2 linked regions of the Mytilus edulis genome follow. The protein of the gene in region 1 interacts with the protein of each later gene in a biochemical or structural test. Links are inferred from orthologs where the notes say so. Each region holds a gene or a part of one and is shown on either strand. Other genes may lie near its edges.

Region 1 (8,121 bases):
TTCTATTTACTTAAACTAATGTTATTGTGCGAAAACCAAGAATAATGCTTATTTGGGCCCTTTTTTGGCCCCTAATTCCTAAACTGTTGAGACCAAAACTCCCAAAATCAATACCAACCTTCCTTTTGTGGTCATAAACCTTGTGTCAAAATTTCATAGATTTCTATTAACTTAAACTAAAGTTATAGTGCGAAAACCAAGAAAATGCTTATTTGGGCCCTTTTTGGCCCCTAATTCCTAAAATGTTGGGACCAAAACTCCCAAAATCAATACCAACCTTCCTTTTGTGGTCATAAACCTTGTGTTAAAATTTCATAGATTTCCATTCACTTTTACTAAAGTTAGAGTGCGAAAACTAAAAGTATTCGGACGCCGGACGACGACGACGACGCCAACGTATTAGCAATATACGACGAAAATTTTTTCAAAATTTGCGGTCGTATAAAAAATTTGGAATTTGAGAAAAAAAATTGAAAACTACTACCATCCCCTTTTTTTTTAAATAGGTCCAAAACCTGACATTTCTTTATACATTGTTTACAAGTAGTGTAAGGGAGGTAAATCTGCACAAACCAAAAATTGTATGTTATCTGTTTATGATTTACCTCCATTACACTGCTTTTGAATTGTCTTAATTGTTCATTGACCAGAAAAACCTAGTTTCCCCCTTTTTTGGCCCCCAATTCCAAAACATTTTAAGAACCCCCCAAAGTCATTACTAACCATCAATTGTATGGAAACTTGTGGTAAAATTTCAGAGAGATTCATCCACTTAAACACAAGTTATTGTTTGAAAACTACAAAAATGCTTATTTTGGACCCCCTTTTTGGCCCCTAAATCCTAAACAATAAGGACCATAACCCCCAAAATCAATCCAAACCTTCCTTTAATTAGTGGTATTGAACCTTCTGGTAGAAATTAATAGAGATCCATTCAGTAAATCTAAAGTTGGTCTGGAAAATCTAGTTTATCCCATTTTTTGGGCCCCTAATTTCGCCTTTTTTAGCCCCTAATTCCAAAACATTTAGAGTCATAAGCCCCCAAAGTCATTAATTACCATCCTTTCATGGTATGGAAACCTGTGGAATTATTTCAGAGAGATTCATACACTTAAACACAAGTTATTGTTTTAAAACTACAAAAATGCTTATTTTGGGCCCCCTTTTTGGCCCCTTCTTCCTTAACTATTGGGACCATAACCCCCAAAATCAATCCCAACTTTCCTGTAGTGGTATTAAACCTTTTTATAGATATCCATACTCTTTATTTGTCAAAACATTTTACTTTAGTTTTAAAAATCACATTTTCCTTATACCGGATGTTGACCTGACTGGTAAAACATGGACTAGAAACAGATACGTAAAATCTGTGTACGTTTACAAAGCACGACTGAGTGAAGAAGCTCTTTCCGCATCATTTCTTCAACAAAATACTTGAAATGAACGTTAGATACAGATATCAATGATTATTGAAGCATTTTTGTAGAAATGTAGGATGCATAATTAAATTTCCCACCTGTACACATGCGCACACGTGTTCTAGTTCATACAACAGAGTGCCTAGAGAAAACCTCAGACTTTAAATAGAAAAACTGACAATACTAGTCAATTAAGATTGAAGTTGTGTGCACCCCCAGGAGCAGGGTATGAATTTACAACCTCAGTGTTGACTGGCTAGTGATTACAGTAGTAAGAACTACTTAGACCACTTGGCCGCTGAGGCCCCTAATTTAACATGGAAACCAGATCTAAACTTTATACTTTTACTTACAGGCAGAGCATCTCCAATGTCATCCAGTTCAAATGCTTTCTTTTTCTTTTTCTTCTTTTTCATCCCAAGGCTAAATTCTAATGACATATCTGAAAATATTCAAACAAATTCATTCTTCTACATCAAATTGCTGAATCTGTGTGAAACCATAATATAATCTGTGTGAAACCATAATATAATCTGTGTGAAACCATAATATAATCTGTCAAATAAACACTTTCTTTTCAATGTATTAAAAAAAAAGTTACAAATGTGCCAGCGTGAAGCATTTTAGAGAATTCATATACATACATGTACAAGGTGATGTCATTGTGTACCAGGGACATACACAGGCAACATTGTGCTTATTTGTTTATAGTGTGGCTATTATAACTAAGTTGAAAAATTTGAATTCATTATTGGAAAGTCAAATTATAGATTAACAAATGAGCTGTTTTGGATAGAAATTGTCCTTGTGCAAATGAATACAATGATCATGAGTCATCTCATTAAACTTTCACTCCTCACGATTCTCTGCGAAAGATGTCCTAAGACTCATAGTTTTTGAGAAAGAAGTCATACTCTAGGATTTAATTTCTGCAGAGTAGTGAAAAACCTAATTATTGTTCAGATAAAATATCAATATCAATGTAGCTTTGAGTGTTCATCTGTAAGTCTTCACTTATATGTCCTGTTTTATTCATCTGATCATATAAGCATGTCGAATATCAATGATATTTATTGGCTCATGCAGGATCTTCATACCCTTCTTGAGCACCTCAGATCACCCATGTAGTCAAGTTATGAACTCATCGTTTCTATTCACATACATTGTACACCATGTACACTTCACATATACATGTATTTCCAAATTATTTCCCATTATGTATTACCATCGTCTACTTTCTCCCTTTGATTTTCAGATTTGTTTTCCTTTGGTTCCTCTTGGATTTCAGTTGTTTCTGGGGTTGGTGCCCCATCTGTTGCTCCTTCTGGATCACCCATAGCTGCATCTAAATCAAATGGTACCTTCTTCTTCTTCTTTTTCTTTTTCATCATATTAGGATCAAAGGGGGTCTGTAAAGGTAAATTATATTAATTTATATAAACAAAGACAATTATTACACTCATATGTACGAAAGAAATGTACAAATGTATGACAATATTGGCTGACAATCCAGATACATACATGTAGACATGTCAACCTATTTGTTTAAATAATGAACATTTTTTTCCTTCAGATTAGACCAAATCCTACTCATTTACCTAAAATATTCAAATGACTTGAAATTTAAAAATCTTCCACAAATTTTTTTTAAGTTATCAATGAATCAAACAGAACAGGAATGTAAACTTAGTTTACATGAAAAAGTTATTGATCAGATGTTGCATCATCTAATTCCTGTCTCATTTTATAAAGTATGGTATTTCATCACAAAAATACCATTAAATAACCTTATTTCGAAACTATAAAGAAATCAAAACCTATGTTGAGGATTTTCCCATACATTTGTATATATTTTTTAGTTTTGATGCCATATTTTGCCTTTACAAAATTTGTATTGACACTTTGATAAACTGATTTTTTTTCAAAATTAACACATTTTAGGAACTTACCTTTTCTCTTTCATAAACCATAATTTAATTTCTGAACATCTAGAATAATAATGATTTTTTTATCCTTTTTTACTGATCCAATTGCATCAAAATATTCCTGTATAGAAGAGGCTTAGAGCTATATGTATTATATTTTTCCTTTGCTATTTTAAAGATAAATGTTTCAATTTATATTGCAGTCTTTATTTTATACTAAAACACGTCTGATGCAATATCGATTTGTATAATGTATATTTATAGCCTAGCAGATAATAATACAGGGAATATTATCTCATTATTTTTTTCTGAAAAGTAATACTAATTAGGTAGGTTGTTTATTACAAAAAGTTTTATGAATATATATACTTTTATAAGATGATTCAAGAAGGGTTAAAATACAAAGTACCTCACTAAAAATAAAAATCTTATGATCTAGACCAATGTCACTAGTCACTTAACTAAACCCAATCTTGACATCACAGCACTAACATTGATGTTATCAACAGACTGTATATTTCCATTCTATCAGGCATTGATGAGTTCTTCTTGCTTATTTAATTTGCATTTTGTACATTCACCATGTTAAAGTAGTTATGAAGAGTTTATATAAAACAATTGATTTTGTTTTTCGAAGTGGTTTAATGGAAGATACAAGTGCTCCCTCCGCACAACCTTATTAAATTCCACAGACCAAAACGACAAATCAGAGCAACAACCTTTGAATAACTTTATCACTAAGTACATTGTAGACCAACAAGTCTGTAACAACAAACGAATGGTCATACATTTTTGTAGTTCAAAATAGTAAATCGGACATGTTCAAAAACTATTTTTGTGCACAGTCGCTATTGATTGGAACCATCTGGAAGACATGGTAGTGTGTGTCACTACAACTTGAAGCTTAAATCAGAATTCCCCAGCAAGCGCAACTATCACACAATAGCCGAAAGGAATCTGCGACATATGGTCATACCCATCTATTCTGTGACATGCTATTTACCATGTTAACAGCAGTGGGAAATACAAATACAAGTCTGTGCCAACTTTATACTAAGTTTAGATATATGTATGAAACTGAAAGTGCTGTAGCCTGTAGGTAGTCTCTTTGTTTGAATGGTAACAATATTGAGTGATACAAATTTTTGTCTAGAAGACACTACTGTCTTAACCATAACTGAATTAAATTATGTCAAAAGGAGAACTGTGGACAGTATTGGGTTCATTGGAAACATCACCATGGTAAAACATAATAACAATAAAGGTGATTGTGGTTCAGGTGAGAACACGATACGTCAACAGCACCGAACCAACCCAGATACGAGATAATTTCGTGAGATTCTGTTTTTATGCTAGCCAATCTTCAGCAATATTTAATGATTTGCATTAACAACCATGAATTGAAGAAAAAAATATATGCAAACGTGTGACTTTATCATAACTAATATGCTGATTTCGAATAATTTACTACACGTGTGATCGAGGATGGAAGTCGCCATATTTTTCTCATATTCCCGGCTCAAAAAAAGTCATTTTATCATTTATTTTTCAATCCTCTTACCAGCTCGTCGTCCTCCATTCTTGAAATTAAAGATCAACAATAAAGTTGATGATTTTATCACAGATAAATGAAATAGCAGCTCGAGTTTCCTTGATTTTTCAGTTTTTCATCGTTCAAATTATTGCATCAGTCTGATAATACTAGAGGTCAAGGACACTGAAAACTTCGTAAGGGAGATAATCCAGAAAAAAAACCAAGAGGCCCAGTGTCGTAACAAGTGCTTTGTCGGTATCAAAAATGATCCCCGGGTAATGATCATAAATCAATGTCACCTTTTTGTTAAGATAAGATCAATTTTATTAACAAATTTTGGGTCCCGAAGGTCATAAAGATTATAATAAAAAAAAAATCCATTAAATGACAGAATAAATATCAAAGACCATCAAATAACAGACAAAAATATACAATATATTCTTCTTCTTCTTCTTCCATATAAGAGTTGGGTTCCTTTAATGAAACGTTTAAACTCTGCGGGACTACGCATGGTGACATCACATATCTAGTCCCCTAAGGCTATATACAGTATTTACAATAAAATCAGGTTGTTACGGTTAAAATTATGTCAGTACAATCGTCCAGTCTGGTATTAATGTGTTGTCTGTAGCCCTGAGCGAAAATCTTCAACTGATCCCGCTTCAGCAACCCTGGCAGGTAATGTATTCCATTCCATGATTGTTCTTGGAAAGAAGGAGTTCCTGTAGACATCACTGGTGACCCTCTGTTGGTAAAACTTGTGTCCTCCACGAGTTCTACTGTCGCCACCTTTGAGGTAAGTACTCTTGTTGATGTCTATCAGCTCATTCTGGATACGATAGAGCATGCATAGCCTGTTGTCACGGCGTCTTGTCTGTAATGTGTCCCATTTAAGATCTTCTAACATTGTAGTGACGCACCCTGGTGTGCGTGATGTGTAGTCATTATAGACAAATCTAGCAGCTCTCCTCTGTATAAGTTCTAGTGTGTTGATGCTTGCTTGGTTGGTTGGGTCCCATATAGTAGAAGCATACTCTATGACAGGTCGCACGAGTGTTGTATAGCCAGCAGCCTTTACTTTCCTGGTACATTCTTTAAGGTTTCGTTTGACAAACCCAAGTGTTCGGTTACCCTTTGCTGTAACACTCTGGATATGTTTGTTCCATGAGAGGTTGTTTGATATTGAAACTCCCAAGTACTTGGCACTATCTACTGGTTCGAGTATGTGTCCATGTAGAGTGTATGGGTATTGTATAGGTTCTTTGTTCTTTGGTGGTATGCGGATAATATTGCATTTTGTTGGATTGAATCTCATCATCCATGTTTTTTCCCAATTTTCTAATGCTTCAAGGTCTTTCTGAAGTTGTTCTGTATCTTTGGTGTTACTAATTTCCCTGTATAGTAGACTGTCATCAGCAAAGAGGCGGACATCTGATTGAGTATATCCGGGCATGTCATTGATGTATGTTAGGAACAATAAAGGACCTAGTACTGTGCCTTGTGGCACACCTGACAGAACATCGTCTTGTTGAGATCTAGCACCTTCCAATACTACCTGTTGTTTCCTGTTTGATAGGAATGAACTGATCCAGGAGTTTGTCCGGCCCCTTACTCCATAAAATTGGAGTTTGTACAGCAGTCTTGAATGAGGAACCTTGTCAAATGCCTTTTCAAAATCCAGGAGTATGATGTCAATCTGGGTTCCATTTGAAAGGTATTTGGCTATACGATCGATGGTGATGATGAGCTGACTTTCACATGATCTGCGTTTCCTGAAACCATGTTGGTTGTCACAGAGTATATTTTGTTGATCAAAATGTTTCATTATGCTGCTGTGAACTATATGCTCTAACAGCTTACAAGTGATGGAGGTAAGGGAGACTGGACGATAGTTGGCCGCTAGGTGAGTATCCCCTTTCTTGTATAGTGGCACTATGTTGGCATCTCTCCAATCTTGTGGAACTTCTCCTGTATCAAGTGAAAACTGAAAGATTCTTGTCAGAATTGGTGATAATTCTGCAGCAGTTATTTGCAGTATTTTGGTTGGTATTTCATCTGGTCCTGCTGCTTTGTTGGTGTTAAGGTTTTTTAACAGTTTGAATACCCCATTTTCAGTTACTGTGATGTCATTCATTGTATTGATGTTACTAGGACCTTTATCGGGAATAGTGCTGCCATCTTCTTTTGTGAAAACCGAGCAAAACTGTTCATTTAAGATATTGGCTTTACTCTGGCTGTCGCTTTTAAGGAATCCTTCCTTGTTTTTGAGTGGTGCAACTCCAACCGAGTCCTGTCCTTTGCTCTTCAAGAATGACCAAAATCTTTTCGGTTTCTCAGTGTAACTGAGACTAATGATGTCATTCATATATTCTTTGTATGCTTTTCTTATTTCCATTTGTGTTTGTTGTTGGAGGTATTTATATCTATCTCTGTCTCTCCTTTTCTTTGTTTTCCTTGATTTCTTGTGGGCCTTGTTTTTCCTTCTTATTAGGCGCTTGATGGTGGTATTGATCCAAGGATGGGTAAATTTTGTAGTTGTCATCTTTGTTGGTACTTTCTGATCAATAATTTTCATGATGTTTTCTTTGAAATATTTCCACATGTTTTCAATATTAGTGAAGGTCGTCTGGTTAAAGGTTTCAGCAAATAACCTCACCTCATTTTGTATTTCATCTATGTTGGTTCTTTTCCATAGTTGTATTTTACGTTTAACCGGTTTAGGTTTTTGTGTTTTAATTGAGGTATCAAGAAGGACAATGTCGTGGTCGCTGTTACCAATAGCTGGAATTGGTTTACATCTCTGCTTAAAACTTGGATGGCTAGTCAAAATTAAATCTAGAGTTTTTTCTTTTCTTGTAGGGAAGTCTACTATTTGTTCAAGATTAATGTCTGCTACTATGTCCAAGAAGGTTTGGTTCACTTTGGATGGATATTGCTTACCATTTATGGCTAACTGTTCCCAATTGATGTCTGGAATGTTAAAGTCACCACCAATAATAAGGATGTTCTTTTTGGTGCTATTTTTAAGGCGGTTGAATTCATCTTGTGTATATTCTAGGTACTCGTTGTCTGTTCTATTTGGAGGTCTATAGTATGATGCCAATGTGATTTTCTTTGAGTTCGTTGTTATTACTCCACTGATCATTTCAATATTTTTACTTTTATATACATTATGTAATTGTAGATGTTTTTTGGCTGCTATGAGAACACCCCCATGTCGATCAGTTGGTCTATCTCTGCGTTG
Region 2 (8,587 bases), on another chromosome or scaffold:
TAGATCTTACTTTACTTAACATTCTTGCTGCTTACAATTATCTCTATCTATAACAGTACTTTCTGTGGAAAATGTTATTGAAAATCTTCAAATTTTAAGAAAATTGTTAAAAATTGACTATGAAGGGCAATTACTCCTTAGGGGGTCAGTTGACTATTTTGGTCATAGTGACTTATTTTTAGTTCTTACTTTGCTGTACATTATTGCTGTTTACAGTTTATCTCTATCTATAATAATATTCAAGATAACAAAAAAAACAGCAAAATTTCCTCAAAATTACCAATTCAGGGGCAGCAACCTAACAACCAATTATCCGATTCATCTGAAAATTCCAGGGCAGATAGATCGTGACCTGATCAACAATTTTACTTCCTGTCAGATTTGCTCTAAATGCTTTGGTTTTTGAGTTATAAGCCAAAAACTGCATTTTACCCCTATGTTCTATTTTTAGCCATGGCGGCCATCTGTGTTGGTTGGCCGGGTCACCGGACACATTTTTTAAACTACATACCCCAATGATAATTATGGCCACGTTTGGTTAAATTTGGCCCAGTAGTTTCAGAGAAAAAGATTTTTCTAAAAGATTACTAAGATTTACGAAAAATGGTTAAAAATTGACTATAAAGGGCAATAACTCCTAAAGTGGTCAACTGACCATTTTGGTCATGTTGACTTATTTGTAGATCTTACTTTGCTGAACATTATTGCTGTTTACAGTTTATCTCTATCTATAATAATATTCAAGATAATAACCAAAAACAGCAAAATTTCCTTAAAATTATCAATTCAGGGGCAGCAACCCAACAACGGGTTGTTCAATTCATCTGAAAATTTCAGGGCAGATAGATCTTGACCTGATGAACAATTTAATTCCTGTCAGATTTGCTCTAAATGCTTTGGTTTTTGAATTATAAGCCAAAAACTGCATTTTACCCCTATGTTCTATTTTTAGCCATGGCGGCCATCTTGGTTGGTTGGTCGGTCACTCCACACATTTTTTAAACTAGATACCCCAATGATGATTGTGGCCAAGTTTGGATTAATTTGTCCCAGTAGTTTCAGAGGAGAAGATTTTTGTATAAGATAACTAAGATTTACGAAAAATGGTTAAAAATGGACTAAAAAGGGCAATAACTCCTAAAGGGGTCAACTGACCATTTCGGTCACGTTGACTTATTTGTAAATCTTACTTTGCTGAACATTATTGCTGTTTACAGTTTATCTCTATCTATAATAATATTCAAGATAATAACCAAAAACAGCAAAATTTCCTTAAAATTATCAATTCAGGGGCAGCAACCCAACAACGGGTTGTCCGATTCATCTGAAAATTTCAGGGCAGATAGATCTTGACCTGATAAACAATTTTACCCCATGTCAGATTTGCTCTAAATGCTTTGGTTTTTGAGTTATAAGCCAAAAACTGCATTTTACCCCTATGTTCTATTTTTAGCCATGGCGGCCATCTTGGTTGGTTGGCCGGGTCACGCCACACATTTTTTAAACTAGATACCCCAATGATGATTGTGGCCAAGTTTGGTTTAATTTGGCCCAGTAGTTTCAGAGGAGAAGATTTTTGTAAAAGTTAACGACGACGGACGACGACGACGGACGACGACGGACGACGACGGACGACGGACGACGGACGCCGGACGCAAAGTGATGGGAAAAGCTCACTTGGCCCTTCGGGCCAGGTGAGCTAAAAACTAGTGAAATATGATCGAAAAATATTTTGTTTAAAGGATTTCTGATTTTTTTTTAATAAATTCAGTAAATTTCAGATTTCTAGGTAATATCACCATGGGGACATTTAATTGCTTACCTTCTAGGTCATATGGACTCTGATGGATACATGTAGTTGTCTCATTGGCAATTATACCACATCACTTTATTTTTTAAAATGAACACTCTTGTTCGATACATGTATTGTCTTACAAACCTTTGTCTTTGTCTACTCTAATTACAACTACACATTCACTCCTCCCCACTCTAATTAATTTGTTGATAGAACGGATACGTCGACGAGACAATTCACTCAACAATATCATGCCTTCAATATTGTTATATTCCAGGAGATGAACATATGCTCCCATCTCTGCTATAGATCTGACATTGACCATAACAACATCCTCTACCTCTGGGTACTTATTACCATAAAATCTACACGTAAGAACCATTTTTTATATCTGTAATGAAGGAAAATAGTTACATTGTATATATCTTTTACCATGATTTAAATTTTTTATTTTAATTATAGATCAAAGTATGTTTTACCTCAATCTTAAATTCAAAAAAGCTTTAAAAATTGATGAAATATGATTTCAAATATTCTAATCATACAATCTAGAATGCAGGAGAATTGTGTGCCCGTCTTTTTCTGTCTGTTCATATAGGACTAAGGTCACACTGTCTTTTTCTTTTACTTTTTTCTAAAAACAATAAAAAAATCTAGTTAATAAATCTTTTATTTCATTTACTTTCCCAAATCGACCAAGCATGCCAAAAATGCAGGGTTTCCCCTGAGTCAATTATTTTTTTCGCCATCTCTTTCACCAAAACAATATATTTTTCGCCACTTCATTTTTTTTTCGCTAAGTAACATAAACATATTTTTCGTTTAAAATTTTTCTTTTTTTCTACTCCCCCCCCTAAATAAGATGAGTTTGCCCCATTGTGGTCTATAAATATTCTTTTAAACTTATCTTAGAGTCTACATTGCAATGAATAAACACTAAAGAATTTGGCGAAAGAAAAATATATAACGATTTATTTTCGTCCATCTTGTTAATTTACTTTTTTTCTGGGACTTTACCTGATCAGACAGTTAATACTCGGAACTCACCCTGAACTCATTAAGATTTTGACAGAAATCAAAAATCCGCTGATTGCATTTTATAGCTATTGCCAACAAAGGACTAATTAATAAAGGTGTTGATTGTTTTGTTTGTCAAAATGATATGGTTAAATGATGTTTGTCACATGTCACATTAAGGATTTATTAACCACTTTGAGACGCACATGTTTGTAGCAAATTTTTGATGTCTCCTCTCCTTCTTTGTATGATAGTTAAAAAAAGTTAAACTATACTTGAGAGATGGGTCGAAGTACCCTTTTCGAAGCTATGTCGTAGATGTAGATGAAGAACAAATTCATGATTGACCTCCCTCTTTGTCTCTTTTACATGTAGTTTTTATCTTGGTTTAATTTCTCCTTGATTTATAGACCACATTCCCTTCAATCACTTTATACATGTCTAATGATCTGAATGTCTATTTTTTATTTGAATAAATGTGTGTAACTGGGTTGGTGTGATTGGTTTATTCTGCACATCGCACTAATTTAAATTCATACTCTCAAATAATTCAAATATTTACACCTTGACCAGATTGCGCTAAATTGACAGACGAAACGTTATATTATAATGCTTTGAAAGAATAGCATTTCATCATTAATGTATGCCAACAGAGGGTTACTATTTGAAATAGCTTCAAATAAGCATTTAAATGTGAATTACATTGATATTATGGTCTTGGGGAAATTTTGACATGTGTTCCGTCTGATGCAAGATGTGTTTATAAGAATGTTGTGAAAAACGAATTTTAGATAGTTTATGATTTTGTATGATTTGTGGGTTCTTGTTTCGTTTGAATAAAATAAAAGCATGAGTAAATACTATTAGTTTAGCACATGATACACTATATAAAAGTTGTATGGACATTTTATAGTCATATAGCTTTTTAAAAAACAAAATTCTTTTTACTAGATAAATTTAAGAAATATCATGGTGAAGTGTGCATCATAGGTCAGTTTCATCACCATTTAACAATAATTGCATACCATCGAACACCCCAAAAGTCAAATAAAACAATAAAGATACGGTACTTTGAATCTATAAAACAATAAAATGGTCGAACTATTATTCTGTTCTACAAACTATCGACAAAAAAAAGTAAGTAAGTATATTTTTTTTATTTGGATTCGGCATATTGACAAACAATACAAACATACACTCTAATGAGCTTTTCACCGAATATAAAAACAGCTTTCGGGTCGATCCGGCCCCACGTCGATCCGGCCCAAGTCGATCCGTCCCACGTCGATCCGGCCCATATGTCAAGTCGATCCGGCCCCAATAAAAAATATTTTTATAAGGAATGAAAATAAAGATATATATTAATGTAATTCATAAATGTTTATGATTTTTATTATAATGTAAAAGGTATACGGTAAAAAAAAAATATTTTCAGATGAGTACAAAACAACATGAACAAACTAGGTTGATTATGATTTTATTACAAGTTTTTAAGAGTATTGGGTATAATTATATTAAAACAATTCAGACAAAAATTTGATTTAATTAAGTGATTACAAGTGGCATTACCTTATAGTTCACAATCGCCAGACTATTGTTGAATAAACAAACCAATTATAGACTAATGATTTGATTAATCAAGTCATTATGATGAGTTAAATTTTATAGGTTTCAGTGGACTGTAAATATTTATTTAGATATTCTGTGTATATGAACTAACAAAAAATAAATAACCTGCAATTCAACAATAACACTCATTTTCGTATCGATTTAAAATAGTTCTTTAACTGGTACTCCAATACTTCACTTACCTTTTGTCATCTATCATCGGACACTTTTTGAAAATTCCATTTAAACTGTTAAAATGTGTCACAAATTCCTCCAAAATCAATATAGTTATTTCATATTTATTATGGGGCCGGATCGACTTGGGGCCGGATCAACGTGGGCCGGATCGACTTGGGCCGGATCGACTTTGGGCCGGATGGACTTGGGGCCGGAACGACCGGATACCATAAAGACATATGCAATAACAAATAAAACAAGGCATGCAGCATGCAATAAATGATAAAAAGCAGCACCAAAAATTAACTCTAAGCAAATCGCATATACATGTATCTTGCAAAATACCAAGCCTGACATATATATGAAGCACTAAAATTTTAAAAAATTTGCAGTTTAAAAATATTTTTTTTTTAAATTTATGATTTATAAAGTAAAAATTTAAAATCTTTCAAAATTTCAAATCTTAAAAACAAAATTTCAGTTGCAATGCAGCATAAAAAGCATAAATATTGTAACACAAATTATCTACAGGCAGAGCAAAAACATTCTGTTCCACTCCAGGACTGAACAAAACTCTTAAAATGTGAGAAGCTGTTAACAGTCCTGAAATGGTCTGGTAAGCTATTCCATAAAGAAGCAGCAGCAAAACTAAAAGATTTTTTTCCATATGAGGTAGTTCTTACCTGTGGTATTTCCAAAATATTACTGTATCTAAAAGAATATTTAGTGTGTTTAATTTGGAGTAAATTTTGTAAACATACATTCTCATGGGAACCAACTTGTCGACTTGTTCCTTCATTTTATGAAGCCGACTTCACACAGGAATTTCCTTAGAAGAAACAAAAGAATTTAGCAATATCCTATAACTTTACTTCCCGCTTTATCGATGATGTTCTCTCACTAAATAATACAAAATTTGGTGACTATGTTGAACCAGAGACTTATATACATGTGTATATATGTCTCTGGTTGAACGCATCGTGCTATCCCATCGAACTAGAGATAAAGGATACAACATATACAGTTAAGTCTGCATGAGATCTTGACTTACATCTGGAAATTGACAATAAGGGTCGGTTAAAAACAAAACTTTCCGATAAAAGAGATTATTTCAGCTTCCCAATTGTAAACTTTCCATTTAAATGTAGCAACATTCCAGCAGCGCCTGTATACGGAGTATATATATACATTTTGTATCTCCCATTTGATACGATATTCCGTGACGGGCTAGTATTTTTATCATGATTTCCTTGGCTGTTCACAAGGAAGCTATTAAACTAAAACTTCTAAATCATGAGTTGGTTGACCTACATGGAATATCCGTTTCATAGACGACATTGGATATGTTCTTAATGTCGTTACTACAATCCCGTTCCCTTTTCACGAATGTGACCTGCCGAATTAGACAATTTATGGGGTTTATAATAGCATGAGCAACACTACGGATGCCGACATGTGGAGCAGGATCTGTGTACCCTTCAAGAGCACCTGAGAACACCCATAGTTTTTGGTCGGGTTCATGATGCTAAGTCTTTTTTTTCTATGTTGTGTTTTGTGTACTATTGTTTGTCTGTTTGGGTTGTCTTTTCCTTTCGAGCCATGGCGTTGTCAGTGTACCACCGAACACCCCGGACCAAAAGTCAAAGTAAAACAATAAAAAACTTCGACTCTACAAAACAATAGAATGGATTAAATAGGTTGGTTGGTCTATTATTTTGATTTCATAAGTACATTTATATATGTAGGACTCTAAAGTGCGATGGTACTCTAAAGTGCGATGGTTACGCTAAAGTACGATGGTCTACGCTAAAGTGCGATGGTGTCAGACGCTAAAGTGTGATGGTTGTTTGTTTTTTAAGTACGATCAGAAATCACGCTAAAGTGCGATGGTATGACACGCTTAAGTGCGATGGTGTAACGGGAATGGGGTTCAGGCAATGGTTTTCGTTTGTTGCTGAGTTTCTATTACATTTTCGTTTATTGTTTTGATTATGTGTCAAGCCGAAGTCTTTATCTTTTGAATTGTTTTACACTGGTCATTGTATAACCCTATATAGCTTGTAACGGCATGGACCAATGCATTACGTTGACGGCCGTAGGATTATTAGCCGCATACATGTGTACAAGTGTTATTTTATGTCCACTGTAATTATTTTTGTCATATTAATGTTTTGGTTATCATCTGTTAAAGTCATTAAGTCAAATGACTATCCTGCTATAAGAGATTAACATAGCATGTTCTCTAAGGTCACATTGTAAATACTTTTATATGATTTATATGTTTTATTTTTGTAAACAAAGAGTTGGAGAATATTTGGAGATTATTTGGGTCAGTTGGAGAATATTTGGAGAATATTTAGGTCAGTTGGAGAATATTTAGGTCAGTTGGAGAATATTTGGAGAATATTTGGAGATCATAGGTATATAAGAGCCCTCTGTTTTTAGTGTTTAGAGAGGATTAAAGGCAAGACATTTAAGAACAATACAATGTGAAAAGTTATTTAAAAAGGATTTTTGTTATTCTAGGCGCATAACATTTTTAGATATATCTTAGCAGATTACTGATAGCTTTGGAATTATTATTATTTCTTATATTCTTTATGTCCGCACAGTATTGGAGACTGTTGCGTGGTTCCGCTCAGTATTGGACGCTGATGCGTGGTTTTGTCCGCACAGTATTGGAGACTGTTGCGTGGTTCCGCTCAGTATTGGACGCTGATGCGTGGTTTTGTCCGCACAGTATTGGATACTGTTGCGTGGTTCCGCTCAGTATTGGACACTGAAGCGTGGTTTTGTCCGCATAGGATTGGACGCTATGCGTGGGTTTTTGTGTGTGTACAGTATCAGACACTGTTGCCGATTTTATACCGTGTGAAAGTAATTTGCTAATGAATATTTCAATTATACATTTTTGTAAACTGTATGTTATGTAAATAGTGTCCGGAATGGAATTTTAATAAATAGATTAGTGAATTTACTTGTGTATTTCTTGACAACAATACTACAGATTATTGGATTATTTTGTTCTTGAATTTTCTGTGATTTCATAATACCCGGCCTGACCAGAAAGTTTGATGTAACTCGACCGCCATGGCACATGATCGGCATTTGGGATTGGATGGATAGTTTATACTACATCTTCTTATGTTTATCTAAAGTACGATAGTTGTTCAAAAGGTGTAATGGTTACACTGTAATATAGTTAGTACATCCGGAATTTAGTGGAAGTCGTTTTTTAATAAAATAATATGTTATAAGACAATGCCCCGTGTTTAAGGTCATACTTAAAGTTGCATATTTCAATAACATTAATAGGTCGAAGATAGATAGTTGTCGTATTGGCAATCATATAGTATGATGATACTACACATCTGTTTGTTAGGTTGCTGTCTAATTGACATATGCTAGTATTTATTATATAACAGAAATAACAAACCGTATAGTATTTTTTTTTTGGATTGAATAATTCAATTAGAAAGTAAATGTTAGATTAAAGTTATTTCTACAATTTCACAAATTAAGTTAACCTATTCCAGCAACGACAAAAAATTCCAGATTGTGATCATTTGTTTTTCTCTTCTCTTGTAATAAAAATCTTTAATCTGGACAAACATTCTCGTCATAATGCTGTGGAACGTTTATAACGACGATGCAGTTGCAAAAAAACGCACTTTAGCGTATCAAACCATCGTACTTTAGCGTAGGCCATCGCACTTTAGCGTGACCATCGCATTTTAGCGTCCCCATCGCACTTTAGAGTCCTACATATATGCTGTATTTGTATCCTTTTTTTCTACCGATATATTTTCATTTTTTCTTTTAAAATCTTATTCTTTTCATTCAATTTTGGTCTGCTTTGTCATTCTATTAAAATTCCTTGTTAGCTATTTAACAAACAAAAACAAGTGTCTTAAGTTATGTTTTCATAAAATCAACTGTTACTTCAATGACTATAGATATTGAATGTTTTACTATACATGTTCATAACAG

What was found.
Region 2: the proteins of eukaryotic translation initiation factor 2 subunit 2-like (region 1) and eukaryotic translation initiation factor 2 subunit 1-like form a complex in vitro, tested with the Homo sapiens proteins (2 studies listed by BioGRID and IntAct). The link is inferred for Mytilus edulis from reciprocal best matches to the Homo sapiens genes EIF2S2 and EIF2S1.

Annotation. Positions count from the first base shown.
Region 1 is NC_092348.1:20,411,401-20,419,521, forward strand, and holds the start of eukaryotic translation initiation factor 2 subunit 2-like, read right to left. Parts: upstream 3,537-8,121; 5' UTR 3,389-3,536; coding exon 3,368-3,388; intron 2,828-3,367; coding exon 2,644-2,827; intron 1,861-2,643; coding exon 1,772-1,860; intron 1-1,771.
Region 2 is NC_092344.1:105,392,709-105,401,295, forward strand, and holds the start of eukaryotic translation initiation factor 2 subunit 1-like, read right to left. Parts: upstream 3,595-8,587; 5' UTR 3,515-3,594; intron 2,187-3,514; 5' UTR 2,178-2,186; coding exon 1,940-2,177; intron 1-1,939. UniProt on the Homo sapiens protein: Member of the eIF2 complex that functions in the early steps of protein synthesis by forming a ternary complex with GTP and initiator tRNA. This complex binds to a 40S ribosomal subunit, followed by mRNA binding to form a 43S pre-initiation complex (43S PIC).